Linked DNA regions of Arabidopsis thaliana. The protein of the gene in region 3 purifies or fractionates together with the protein of the main gene of each other region. This does not show direct contact. Each region holds a gene or a part of one and is shown on either strand. Other genes may lie near its edges. The genes, in order: ATP5, AAC3 and ATP3.

Region 1 (3,975 bases), on a different chromosome or scaffold from region 3:
CTCGCAGATACGAAACTAGGAATCTCAATCATTTCCGGACTTATACAAGCCCAAAAGAGGTGACTTTTAAAAATTTATGAATCATTCAATGGATAACACCAGAAATGAAAATCAATCGAGAGACAGAAAGAGTTGTAGATCGGCAGACCTCTTATAACGCTCCGGTGGTAAGAATTGAAAGATGAGAGATCTGCAGAGGGGACAGATCTAGAAGCGGAAGAGGAGTTGCCTCCATCGGAAAGGGTATGGTCACGGGAAAGGACGAAGGAGGTCGCCGTCGATGATCTCTGCGAAACAGAAAAAAGCCTCCTTCCTGCTACTCGCAGCATCTCTGCTCAAATGGGTTAAGACCGATTCTAGGGTTTCGCTCAAAGCAAGAACACACAATCGTAAGGTTAGAGATGGCCGATGCAAACAAAAAGATTAGTCCTTTACCAAAAAAATGTTTTTTTTTCTTCTTTGCGGATATTCCTTTAATAGTCTTCGAGAAATCGTCAATTTGGTTTTTTTACTATTAATACTGAAGAGAACAATGACGGTGTTCTAACATGATAATTATGTAGCTTCGTGGCATCTTAATGTTCATTCGTGAGTATGAATAAGCTACTTGGGCATAGTTTGTAGATTTATTTACCAAATTAGCCCAACGATTCAAATCTAAACAAAAACAATCTCATTGAAATTTGATGTCTCGAAAAGCTTTATTTCGAAGCAAACAACAATATGTAAAAAGCAAATGACAAAATTCAAAGGGAGAGAAGTGGCCAGCTATTATATTGTTTCCCAGGAGGGTCCATATTTATTTGTCAATTGGTGGCATTCATCACAAGCATGTTTTCTTGGGGGAAATTTCTCTCAAGATTTTCAGAGGTTGTTGAAGTCAACAGGTTCACGGAGGAGCCTCTCCATCTGTTGTGCCCTTGTCCTGATTGACATGTCCAACACCTTTTGTTGGAACTCTACGATTAGTCCACCGTAGATACTTGGATCAATCTACAAACACACATTACCACCATTGACATAGATGCTTATATCCATTTTATGGGTTACTAGAAAATCACAAGCCTTTGATGCATATCTGATTACATACCTTTTGTTCCACAGTGATTTTCTTCCCTGCTCCAATGATCTCCTGAAGCGTCTCAGTCAGTTCTTTCTCCTCAGCAGGGGGAAGCGGCTGTCCAAACCATATGATTAAATCCACAATACTGAGTTTATGGTTATTTAAGAGATAACAAGTATTGAGACTAAAGCTTACAATGACTGTGGTAACCAAAACTTTGACATCTCCCCTATGTGCGTTTGTCAGCTGCATAAATTTCTTCACAATGGCATCTAGGTTCTTCAGCTTTCCATTCTCAGCTAACAAAGCTGTTACAGAAAGCAAACAACTTTTAATATCAGCACAACAAGGTCAATCAAAATCATAAAAACAAGACAGTTTCAAACTTGAATTACATACAGAGGAAGTTCTTAGTGGGTTCGGCAAACTTTGCTTGATCACAAGCATCCCTAATAGCAGCCAATCTTGTCCCTCTAGGAACAGAGGGATCCTTTGTAAACTGAGCAAAAATAGGAGCTGTCTTCATTGCCTCAATCATCTCAGAAAGATCCGTCTCAATCTTTTCCAAGGAATTCATTTTCACAGCTGCAATGTATAGCCATGAAGCAAAGTTCCCATTTTCACCAACTAAAGCAATAGGCACCTGAAACAACAACAAGTATAAATCTAGATACACTTCCATTACATATTATACAAAATCCAGCTATCCGCGGTTCATCATTTATGCCAATCAAACAATTCAAGCCATTGTCGCGATTCTCGCATCTACAAAATAATACGATGGTGATAAAAGGGTGTACCTTAACATTAGCGGTTGTTTGAGCAGAAGCAGTTGCATAAGTTCTCAACTGCGATAGAAATATACAAACTTTAAAGATTGATTGATAGCATTCTCAGGAAAATAACAGAGATAGAGTTAAAAGACTTCCAAAACATCTAAAGCCGAGCAATGTAAGCGAGAAAACACGATAATCCCCATTCTATACTGTTATCAATCCAATTAGGCGATTGGATCGACTGATCTCGTAAGAATCGACTCCGAACAAAAAATTGGACTGAAAAGATTCGATTTTTAAGAATGCGAATTACCGCTGGGAAAAGCGACTTGGATCTAACGGAGGAGACAGAATCTGTTACGGCGATGGTCTTGAAGAAGGAGATCCCTGATCTGAAACGATTAGCCATTTTTGTTGCAGATAGATTTTGATTGGAACCCTAGAAATGTGCAAAAGTCGCTCAGCTGCTTTGTCGAGAGCAAAGAGATGAAACTGGTCAGAGGAAGAAAATAACTTAGTGCATTGGGCTTCACTGGGCTCATACTTATTTTATTGGGCTTATTACTACCTGTAGATAGTGGCAAATTTATGATAGTTAATTTGTTTTGCTCAGGTTTTTAGTGTTTTACCAAGTTTCAAATGTTATAGTGAGGTTATGTAATACACAACTTAACTCGTTTTTTTGTTGTAAACAAGATCTTGTAGATTATTATTTTGTATTATTGTTGATATATATATATATATATATATTCAAATTTAACTGTATATATGTGTATATGAAAAATATCATTTTTAATGTGTATTTGAACTCTACAATAATGTATTTTTCTCTATTTCAAAATAATTGATGTTCTAAAAAAATACTATTTTTCTTACGAATTAAGATGTTGTTCTCAATTTTCTATCCTACTATATTATTTGGGAAGTACTTTTTAAATGTAACCTTAATTTTTGTAAGTAATTACATAGGTATGCCATTAAAAATAAAATTTTAAAGAATAAATTAATTTATCTCTTTAAGGATTAAAAAGTTAAATACTAATTTAATTAATTAAATTTAATTTAAAAACGGAATATATTATTAATTTCCAAAAATAATAACCAATCAAAATCAACATATAAGATTTGATATCTAAATTTTAATTAATTTAATTTAATTAGAAAAATAAAATGCATTATTAATTTCCAAAAATAATAACCAATCAAAATCAACATATAAGATTTGATATCTAAATTTTAATTAATTTAATTTAATTAGAAAAATAAAATGCATTATTAATTTCCAAAAAAATAACCAATTAAAATCAACAAATTAGATTTGATATCTAAATTATCATATTAATTTTTTATTAATTATTATAGTTCACTTCTCATCTTTATATGATTCTATTTTTGCCGAAAAATAATATCATCATTATAAAAAAAATAATTAGAGTTTTTTCGCATATGTCATAATTTGAATTTTTAAAAACGAATATAAACTGTTCAATACATGAAAAATATTATAACGGATGAAAAATAGATTTAAGAAAACTTTCTACTGAGTAACGGGTCATAATTTGAAATATTTATATTCAATTTCATACATATTATATTGAAAATTTATAATCTTATATACTACAATAATTAATAACATATTAGATGTGATTCAATTTTTAATACAAGCTGGAAAATCCTAGAATTAACGGGTTTAGATCGATATTAATACAAGATGGTATACTACATGTCAAACTCTTAAATTAACAATCAAACTACAAGTGTATAATCTTAAACACTAAACAATATAGATAATATCAACAAAACATATACAACTCACAGTTTACTATACATTTAAAATCAAATAAAATAATATCATATATTTTTAAATCATCTTTACAATAAAAGTTTTTAGTTTAACTAAAATATAAGCCTACTTGCGGTATACTGCAGGTTAAAATCTAGATTATAGGGCTTATTGGATCTAAAGACGGGTCATCAAAGATTTCCTAAACTGAAGCAAAATATACTGAATATTCAAATATCTATCTATTATCAAATTATAAACAAATAAGTTCGTAAACAATTTAATATTTTATTTATGAAATCAATTAAATCTTAATCACATAAAAATTAGCACAAAAAAAAATATTCAATAAT
Region 2 (4,472 bases), on a different chromosome or scaffold from region 3:
GCTGATCGATTGAAATAATCGTGGCTTTGAAAGTGTTGGATCTACTCTGCTGAAGTCACTGGATGTATTTAATTAGGTTGTTGCCATTTACTCATCTGTTAAAAAACAAAATTTTAAACCACGTTCCTCTTTGTAAAAAGCTAAAAGCCTCGTTATGTTATCCGTTTGGCTATGTAATTATAAGTGTAGAAATGTCACGAGAGCCAGAAGTTTTGTCCTTAAGTTTTGATTCTTAATGGACAATTTTGGCATTTTTTGCTTCCCGTAATAATGGTTATTGTAAAAACTAAGAAATAGAAGAGAAGCCATATCTGATGAATATACATATATATAATCGCTTACAGAAAATTCTTCGTACTTTTGTAACACTAGTCACTATTACATCTACAATAAACTCGATTATATATCATTTGTAACTATATAGAACTGTTACAAGGCTTCCCTTCCCAATATTCATAGATATATATCCTGGTAGTTAATTTAATTTCTCAACGTCGGGATTCTTGGTGTTTCTGAACCTGTAATGACAAAATTATACCAGTTCATTAGTTCCTTTATGCACAAGGAAAAATGTAATATATAACATTTTCTTCTAGGAAAAGATTTTTAAAAAACTATGGAGAGAAGAATGAAAATAACTGAGAACAGTCCATATCAACGGAGATGGGAAAGCTGAGAGTAAGAGAACAACGGAGAGGAAGGTTATTAATAGCGGCGGGAAGAAAAGGAAGATGATTTGCATTTCCCATTATCTCAATGCACAGACACACTCTCTCTGTTTCTCCACTATCCTGCCTATTCCTCGATCCCTGCGTAGTTAATATAATTATAGATGGTGAAAGAAGAAACCGAAATAGAAGAATCGAGAATTAAGTCTAGTAACTGGAGACGTAAACTTGACGACGTTGTTCAAGTGGGTCACGCCTCTGCAGCAATCTGGAGAAGGTTGTTGAAATATTCCCTCGACGAAGCCCATGCAGGGCATGAAACTCACGAACACGTCTCTGCAATGTTCCAGCGGATTATTGTCCTGGGAAACGGCGGTCTTCATCAGGACCAAGAACGCTACTACCAATATGGCATGTATCTTCATTGAACTCAGTACACTAGCTAGCGAAGGTGATATATATGATTCGTGTACGAAGAGAAATCTATATCTATATATTATATATATAGTAATCAATTCGTTTCTAAGGTGGAGTTTATTATGCATGGCTTAGTTTAATGAACACATGTAGTTCTCATGTTTCCTTCTTACTCGGATGAATTCCAGCTGAGTTCTCTTTTAGTTTTCTTGAATCTTTTGAAATAATCTACCTACACATATTAAGGTTATTGCATGTAATTCGAGTTTATTTTATATCGCATGACATGTATGATGTGTCTTGTTATCTAATACATGAGCCGATATCATTGCCTATATTCTGGTACTCTCAATACGTATCGGTTTGTTTCATTGTTTGTAGAACATTTCTCTAACTAGTTTTGGATCACTAAATTCGAACCACATCACCTTCCTTGCATCTGTAAAGTTCTGTCCGGCTGAAGAAGAAAAAAAAGATTCAACTTTCTTTCTTGCTTCTTAAGTAACATCCAATTTTTTAAGACCTAGTTAACAAGCCTCTATTATATTTTTCCGGCAAACCAAAAAAGTCTTGATTATTGTTCTATTTTTCTATATTTAATTTTCAGGTAGATGAGACATATATCACATAATGATAAAGAGGTCTCTCACTTTCATTAGGTATGAATTTTATCTTCCTAGGAAAATAAATTTTGGGTCCATTTAGAAGAAGTCAAGACTCGGGTCCCTTAAAATTGGGCCCAGAAAGAAACGGGTCAAAGGAGTCCAGTAGCATTTTCGTAATTGTACCTTCTCTTCTGCTCAGTTTCGTCTTTTAGTTTAGGACCAGAAGTCGAGAATCATGTAGAAACCTACTCTTCTCGCAATTTTCCACAGCTCTCTCTCTCTCTCTCGTTAACGCTTCGGCGAAAAATCCACGGTAAGCTCTCGACTCCAGAAGTTCTAGCTTTATCATTAATGCTTCTCTCCTAGCTCTCTCTGTTTTTTTGTTCTGCTTCTCGTGAATTCTGTTTTCTCGACGCCACTCGTTGCTTGATCTTTTAGAAACAGAGGATTTAATTGAGCTGCTGCAACTAGGTTTTAATTTGTGCTAATTAGGTCGCATTATAGTTGACAGATTGAAATGGTGTCTTTAACGAAGCTAACTAGGATCGTATGAAATGTGTTGATGATGTCTTCTCTGTTTTTGTTCCAGTTTTGGTTATGATCATTCTTTTTTAAGCATGCAAATATAGAAATTTTCGAGAAAGCAAGATTTTGTGGTGTTTAATTTGTATTTTTGTTTTGTTTTGTTTTGTTTTGTTTTTCAGAGTCAGCTTTTACTGATTTGTACAAAAAATGGATGGATCAAAGCATCCATCAGTCTTTCAGAAGCTACATGGACAATCTTACTTGATCAATAGACTTTCTCCGAGTGTGCAAGCTCGTGGTTACTGTGTCTCTGGTGCTTATGTCAATGGAGGTTTGCAGAGTCTATTGCAGCCAACTAGCCATGGCGTTGGCTCGTCTCTTATACCTCATGGTTCATTTCCTGTATTAGCTCACGCTCCTAGTGAGAAAACTGGTACTGGTTTCTTGATCGATTTCCTTATGGGAGGAGTCTCAGCTGCTGTTTCGAAGACGGCAGCCGCGCCTATAGAGCGTGTGAAGCTCTTGATTCAGAATCAAGATGAAATGATCAAAGCTGGGCGTCTCTCTGAGCCATATAAAGGAATCAGTGATTGTTTTGCTCGAACAGTCAAAGACGAAGGAATGCTTGCTCTTTGGAGAGGAAACACTGCCAATGTTATCAGATACTTCCCCACTCAGGTTTGTTTTCTCTTCTTTGACGTGGTATTTGTATAGACGTCGAGATGGGTATGCTAAGCAAATAGTTTTGTTTTGCAGGCTTTAAACTTTGCGTTCAAAGATTACTTCAAGAGGCTGTTTAACTTCAAGAAAGAAAAAGATGGCTACTGGAAGTGGTTTGCAGGGAACCTGGCGTCTGGTGGTGCAGCTGGTGCATCATCTCTGCTTTTTGTGTACTCTTTGGATTACGCTCGTACCCGTTTAGCCAATGATGCGAAGGCGGCCAAGAAAGGTGGTCAGCGGCAGTTTAATGGCATGGTCGACGTGTACAAGAAGACTATAGCCTCTGATGGCATTGTCGGGCTTTACCGTGGTTTCAACATCTCATGCGTTGGAATTGTCGTGTACCGGGGGCTTTACTTTGGATTGTATGATTCCTTGAAGCCTGTGGTTCTAGTTGATGGTCTCCAGGTAAAAAACAAAGAAAACTCCTCACTTCAACATATTGAGTCCTCTGTTACTGTTTACTCATTGCTATAATCTGTACAGGATAGCTTCCTTGCTAGTTTCTTACTGGGATGGGGAATCACCATTGGAGCTGGATTGGCGTCTTACCCAATTGACACGGTTCGCAGAAGAATGATGATGACGTCAGGTGAAGCAGTGAAGTACAAGAGCTCTCTTCAGGCCTTCTCTCAGATCGTCAAGAACGAAGGGGCCAAGTCACTCTTCAAGGGTGCAGGTGCCAACATCCTTCGTGCGGTTGCAGGCGCTGGTGTACTGGCCGGCTATGACAAGCTCCAGCTCATTGTGTTGGGTAAGAAGTATGGCTCTGGTGGTGGCTAAACGATGAGGATGATGAAAGAATAGCCCTTGAGGTCTGTGAATGAATAAAGCAGTGTGTCCGTTCGTATAAATGTTGCTTTTAGAATATAGAGTGTCTCTGTCAAGTTGTGGCCCTTTGTCTTAGTTCTATACTTCTATGACTTTTGTTGACAAAAGAATAAATACAAAGAAAACCAATACCATGTTTATGTTTTTTGTAGTTAAAACAGTTTTAGTGAATATTATCAGTTAAAAAGTCAACATAAGCTGAGAGATCAAAAGAACTTTAAATGTATGGTTATGCGAAAGTTTGTATAATTCAGATTCGGTTTCCTTGGGTTGTAAGCGAATGAGTGATCTAAGTCCAACACTAAGATTTGGTCTTCAAATGTGTCAGTCTCAAATCCCACTTCAAACCACTCCAGACAGCTACAAGTAAGGAGTTAAGTCCTTTTCCTTGATCTTATACCACTACCTGATTCATCCTCTGTAATCGTTGCACCAAAGACCAAACTTATTGTCTTTATATATAAATCCACCACACTTAAGACAAAGGATCCATAACTTGTCTTTGAATGGCTCTCTCTATAACATTTCCTGTCCTTATCTCAGTTCTTCTTTATCATTTCTCTTTAGTATCAACAGCAAAACATAGCCTTCACCACCACACAAGTCACTCCACAAACCCTAAACAGCATCTTCAGCAAGCGTACCGTGCACTTAAAGCATGGAAGAAGGTAATCTATTCTGATCCAAAGAACTTAACTGCAGATTG
Region 3 (5,087 bases):
CTCAGACATTGAGGAATTGGACCGGTGAATTTGTTGTAGGATAGATCAAGGACGATGAGAGAGCTTCGGTTGCAGATTGAGAGAGGTATGTTCCCTGTGAAACTATTGTTCCACGCAGACAAGTAGATCGAACCGAGTGGTGGAGTAGGAAACGCTCCTGTCATGGAGTTATAGGCAAAATCTAGTAACTGCACTGATGAGTTAAGTAAAACTTCTGAAGAACCTTCGAAACCAGTCAAAGAATTGTTAACAAGATTTGCTATGCTAAGACGAGGAAGCTTCCAAAACCACTCAGGTACTTTCCCTTTGATTAGATTGTTGGAAATGTCTATATGCTCCAAGTTTTGAAGGGTCTTAAAGATGTTTGGAAACTCGATAATGTCGCACTGGATCAAAATCAAGCTTATTAAGCTCAATGGAAACTCTGAATCTGAACTTAAACTGGCTGGTAATAACCTATTTTGACGAATATCAAAGACCAACAAAGATTTGAGAGGAGCGAAGACGCGTAAGTCAATTGGGTGACTTATGTTTAGGGAAGCAAGTTCAAGATGGTTGAGGTTTATGAGCTTTGAGATAGGCTCTATGATTTTTCCTTCAAATTGGTTAAACCCAAGGGACAAACGAACTAGCTTAGATGAAGAAGAAGAGTTTGGGACATCAATAGAACCAGTGAGATGATTCTTTTTCAGATCAAGATAAGACAAGAAAGGCAAAGTGGGTAGTAAATCAAAAGGTATGGCTCCTGAGAATTGATTGTAAGAAAGGTCTAAAAAGGAAAGCTTTGTTAGGTTTCTTACAGGTGGGAAACTACCAGTGAGCTCATTATGGGAAAGGTTTAAATGGGTAAGCAAGATAAGGTTACTAATTGAGGAAGGAACTTGACCAGTAAAGCTACTAGAGGCAAGAGACAAAACCTCTAATCTGGTGAGATTGCTGAATTCAGAAGGGAGTGAAGAGGAAGTGAAGTTGTTGTGAGAGAGATTAAGGTAACGAAGCTGATGCAACTCAAAGAGACTACTGTTTGGTTTGAGAGTTCCAGTGAAGCAACCACTTGGGAGCTGAAGCTTCGTGACCGCACCAGTCGTGTTATCACACTGGACTCCGTTTAAGTAGTCACTGCGGTTGCAGCCGTCAGATTCAAACTCATTCTTGAATTGGATTAGAGCTTGGATCTGGTCAGGAAGACAAGCAAGAGCGTCGGTCGTCAAGAAGCTTGAAACGAAGACGATACAGTAGAGTAAGAGTAGCGAGCAAAAATGCAAACGCATGGTGTTTGTGATTGAACCAACAAGTTGAGGAAATTATTGAACCCAAAAAAAGACATATCAAAGATTTGCTATATATATGTTATTTTAAGCCGCCTTTACTAAATATGTGGGGTTTAAATGTCACGTGAAATGTCTACGAGTCACATTTGTTCATGAAGTAAATTCCACGTGGACATCTCTGACTATATAACTGGGAGTTATAGTTGACTGTTAAAATTGGCTTCAAAATTTAGCAACAAGAGGAAATCAACACTCAGCAATTTACTCTCATTGGATCAAATGAACGCACATTAATATGACGTAACGATGATGACAATTCTGTTTAATAGTATCTTATTGTTTACAGATACAGAAAAATAAATTAAGTGGGCCTTTCAATAATTAATAGGTTGGTGAAATGTTACCTTCTCTTGATATTTTTTTAATTTTCATTTATTATGAGTATGTTGCGTTATGAAACAACTCGCATTAATTTGGTTATAGATTGGAGAAAGAAGAAGTCATGGTCAAAACTCAAAAATGTAAAAGGAAACAAGACGTGTATGACGACGTGATTGATAATCTGAGGAGATACCTTTGGGCCTTATAAGATGGGCCGAAAAAGTAATAGTATTAGCCTCTATTCGGCCCGATTAATTTCAGGGGAAATTTTGGTAATAAAGTGGAAACGACGTCGTGACAAAACTACTGTGTAGACTGAGAAATAAAGAAGCCCTTGATTTTGCCCATTGCAGTCATCTCTCTCGAATCTCTCTCTATAATCCGATCTGAGAAATTTCGCCGGAGCTAGGTTTTGTTGTTTACCGATCAATCCTTTAATCAATGGCAATGGCTGTTTTCCGTCGCGAAGGGAGGCGTCTCCTCCCTTCAATCGCCGCTCGCCCAATCGCTGCTATCCGATCTCCTCTCTCTTCTGACCAGTGAGATCTCTTTCTCATTCATCTTATCCTTGCGTATAAACACACATTTCGCTGTTCCTCTGTGATGCTTTTCTGAATTTGAAATCGTTTGATTTAATTGAGTCGTTGATGTTTTCATTTCCTTGAAATTCGAATCGACGAAAATTTATGGAAATTGTGTTGTTTGACTCGGGAGCTGCTAATGAGTGAGGTGTTTTTGTTCGTCTATTTGGAGTTTTGAGACTCGGAAATGTCCTGTTAAGCTCGTTTCGTTGAATTTCCTATTGCAAGACCAATTTGATTTTCCTCGTAGAAGAGACTTTGTGATATGTTGTCTAAGCTCGTCAGATTTAATCAGCTTTTACCTGCAAAACTTTGTGATATTTAGGATGATGAGGACTAAACTTGTATTTGATTTGTAGGGAGGAAGGACTTCTTGGAGTTCGATCTATCTCAACTCAAGTGGGTAAGTCAAAGCTGATAATTGGAGATTGGTTTTACCTAGTTAGGATTGTGTTCTAAGAAATCTGTGATGTTCTAATCTTTATGAATTGCTTTACATGTATTCTCTGTGCAGTGCGTAACCGCATGAAGAGTGTTAAGAACATCCAAAAGATCACAAAGGCAATGAAGATGGTTGCTGCTTCCAAGCTTAGAGCAGTTCAAGGCCGAGCTGAGAACTCCCGTGGACTTTGGCAGCCATTTACTGCACTTCTAGGAGATAATCCCAGTATGGTTGGCTATATAGAGTTGTTTTTCTTAATAACTTTGTTCTAGTATCACTCCGGGCTTGCATCGGTATTGAATATTGATGACGACGAACAAATCTGTTGCTCTTACTATAGTCTGAGATATCCATCCTCTTGCTATCTCTTGTTGTTATTGTGGATGTGTTTCTGATTTCTAGCGTTACTTGATGGAAAAACCAGGCATTGATGTAAAGAAGAGTGTGGTGGTCACTCTCTCTTCTGACAAGGGTCTCTGTGGTGGAATCAACTCCACTGTCGTTAAAGTGAGCAGGGCTCTGTACAAATTGAATGCTGGTATGTTTGAAAACACTACGATGGTTCCGTGGTTTAGTTTTCCTGAATTGCATATCCGATATTAATTCTTATATCATTGCAGGTCCTGAAAAGGAAGTTCAGTTTGTTATTGTCGGAGAGAAAGCAAAGGCTATAATGTTTCGTGACTCAAAGAACGACATTGTCCTCTCTGTAACAGAGCTGAATAAGAACCCACTCAATTATGCTCAGGTAGTTCTTAGTTGCTAATAGTTAGGAGCAATAGTTTCTCTCCCCGATCCATTTGTTCTCGAGCTATTTATTGTTGTCTATAGTGTTTCTTATGTTTACTTGCTGCTTCAGGTGTCAGTTCTAGCTGATGACATCCTGAAGAACGTTGAATTTGATGCTTTGCGCATTGTCTACAACAAGTTCCATTCAGTTGTCGCATTTCTGCCAACTGTGTCCACTGTTTTGTCACCTGAGGTAAGTCATAACTGTTGAACGTCTCAATTTGTGCTTAATATTTCACATTCTGCTTTAAGTATAAACTTGATTGTATATGTGTGTGTTTTGCATTGAAAGATTATTGAGAAGGAGTCTGAAATTGGAGGAAAACTTGGCGAGCTTGACTCATATGAGATTGAAGGTGGGGAAACAAAGGGAGAAATATTGCAGAATCTGGCCGAGTTCCAATTCTCTTGTGTAAGTAACCAAGAAAGTTTAACTTGATTTATGGTATTTCAGCATAGAAAGAAACATAACATTTTGGTTGTTTACGTAAATTCTACTAGGTGATGTTCAATGCGGTTCTGGAGAATGCATGTAGTGAGATGGGAGCAAGAATGTCTGCCATGGACAGCTCAAGCAGAAACGCAGGAGAAATGCTCGACCGTCTCACCCTCACATACAACAGGACTCGTCAAGCTTCTATTACAACAGAGCTTATTGAGATTATCTCTGGAGCTTCTGCTCTTGAAGCTGCTAAATAAGCCCATCCGTGTTAGTTCTCTTTTCTTCGCTTTGATATTTACCCCCACCTTGAAGGAGAAGAGTGTGTTAAAATTTTACTGAATCAGTTTCCTTTGCTGGCTTCTTGTTGAGACCTACCAATGTTTGCTCAACGATTTTTAATAAACATACCTGTAATTTCCAGCAGGATTTCGAATAATTGCATTAACATTTTGTTCTGATTCAGACTCGCTTCCTCCAGAGTCTGTAGTGTTGTTTTGTGCAAACACCATGTACTCCGGTTTATTTGATATTTTTTTACCTGAGCCAATATTTTGTCACTTCGCCAGGTTTTGAAGTTTGAAACTTTGAATAATCCCACAAACAAATCTAAACAATATATCCAATGCAGTGTATGTTGTCATGCTAGTGGATTTCTAGAATTTTGGAATTATGTATAAACAATCTGATGTTAGAAAGTTTAAACTGATGTGAATCCAATCATGTGAAACAAATTTTATGGCTCAATATCTCCTCTTGATCGAGGTCCACTAGGGTATCCAGAGCTGCGGATATTTGAGATATCTGGTAATAAATTTACCGGAGGCTTGCCACCAAATTATTATGAGAATTGGAAAGCATCATCACTCACGCTAAAATCAAGAAGGGGGTTTATATATGATATACACTAAGAATGCTTACGGTAGCATTTCTTATACCTATCAAGATTTTATAGATTTAAGATACAAAGGTCTACACATGGAGCAAAAGAGGATTCTTACTTTATACAGCGCTATTGATTTTTCCGGAAACAGACTTGAAGGACAGATTCCTGAATCCATTGGTCTCTTGAAGGCACTGATTGCACTCAACTTATCAAACAACGCTTTCATAGGTAATATTCCCATGTCTATGGCCAATCTTATTGAGCTTGAATCATTAGACATGTCTAGAAACGGACTATC

What was found.
Region 1: the proteins of ATP3 (region 3) and ATP5 fractionate together in Arabidopsis thaliana (co-fractionation; one large-scale study listed by BioGRID). This does not show direct contact.
Region 2: the proteins of ATP3 (region 3) and AAC3 fractionate together in Arabidopsis thaliana (co-fractionation; one large-scale study listed by BioGRID). This does not show direct contact.

What each region holds. Positions count from the first base shown.
Region 1 is NC_003076.8:4,309,694-4,313,668, forward strand, and holds ATP5 (delta subunit of Mt ATP synthase), read right to left. Parts: upstream 2,374-3,975; 5' UTR 2,249-2,373; coding exon 2,153-2,248; intron 1,912-2,152; coding exon 1,864-1,911; intron 1,707-1,863; coding exon 1,463-1,706; intron 1,372-1,462; coding exon 1,259-1,371; intron 1,178-1,258; coding exon 1,091-1,177; intron 994-1,090; coding exon 865-993; 3' UTR 561-864; downstream 1-560. Other genes in the region: AT5G13440 (Ubiquinol-cytochrome C reductase iron-sulfur subunit), read right to left, coding at 149-329. UniProt on the Arabidopsis thaliana protein: Mitochondrial membrane ATP synthase (F(1)F(0) ATP synthase or Complex V) produces ATP from ADP in the presence of a proton gradient across the membrane which is generated by electron transport complexes of the respiratory chain.
Region 2 is NC_003075.7:14,040,732-14,045,203, reverse strand, and holds AAC3 (ADP/ATP carrier 3), read left to right. Parts: upstream 1-1,856; 5' UTR 1,857-2,003; intron 2,004-2,019; exon of another isoform or gene 2,020-2,161; intron 2,162-2,394; 5' UTR 2,395-2,422; coding exon 2,423-2,893; intron 2,894-2,971; coding exon 2,972-3,343; intron 3,344-3,421; coding exon 3,422-3,718; 3' UTR 3,719-3,916; downstream 3,917-4,472. Other genes in the region: A7 (Bifunctional inhibitor/lipid-transfer protein/seed storage 2S albumin superfamily protein), read right to left, coding at 476-518, 640-809, 884-1,213; AT4G28380 (Leucine-rich repeat (LRR) family protein), read left to right, coding at 4,273-4,472.
Region 3 is NC_003071.7:14,018,054-14,023,140, reverse strand, and holds ATP3 (gamma subunit of Mt ATP synthase), read left to right. Parts: upstream 1-1,955; 5' UTR 1,956-2,093; coding exon 2,094-2,191; intron 2,192-2,592; coding exon 2,593-2,636; intron 2,637-2,747; coding exon 2,748-2,900; intron 2,901-3,099; coding exon 3,100-3,213; intron 3,214-3,295; coding exon 3,296-3,423; intron 3,424-3,534; coding exon 3,535-3,657; intron 3,658-3,756; coding exon 3,757-3,876; intron 3,877-3,965; coding exon 3,966-4,163; 3' UTR 4,164-4,531; downstream 4,532-5,087. Other genes in the region: RLP26 (receptor like protein 26), read right to left, coding at 1-1,271; RLP25 (receptor like protein 25), read left to right, coding at 4,801-5,087.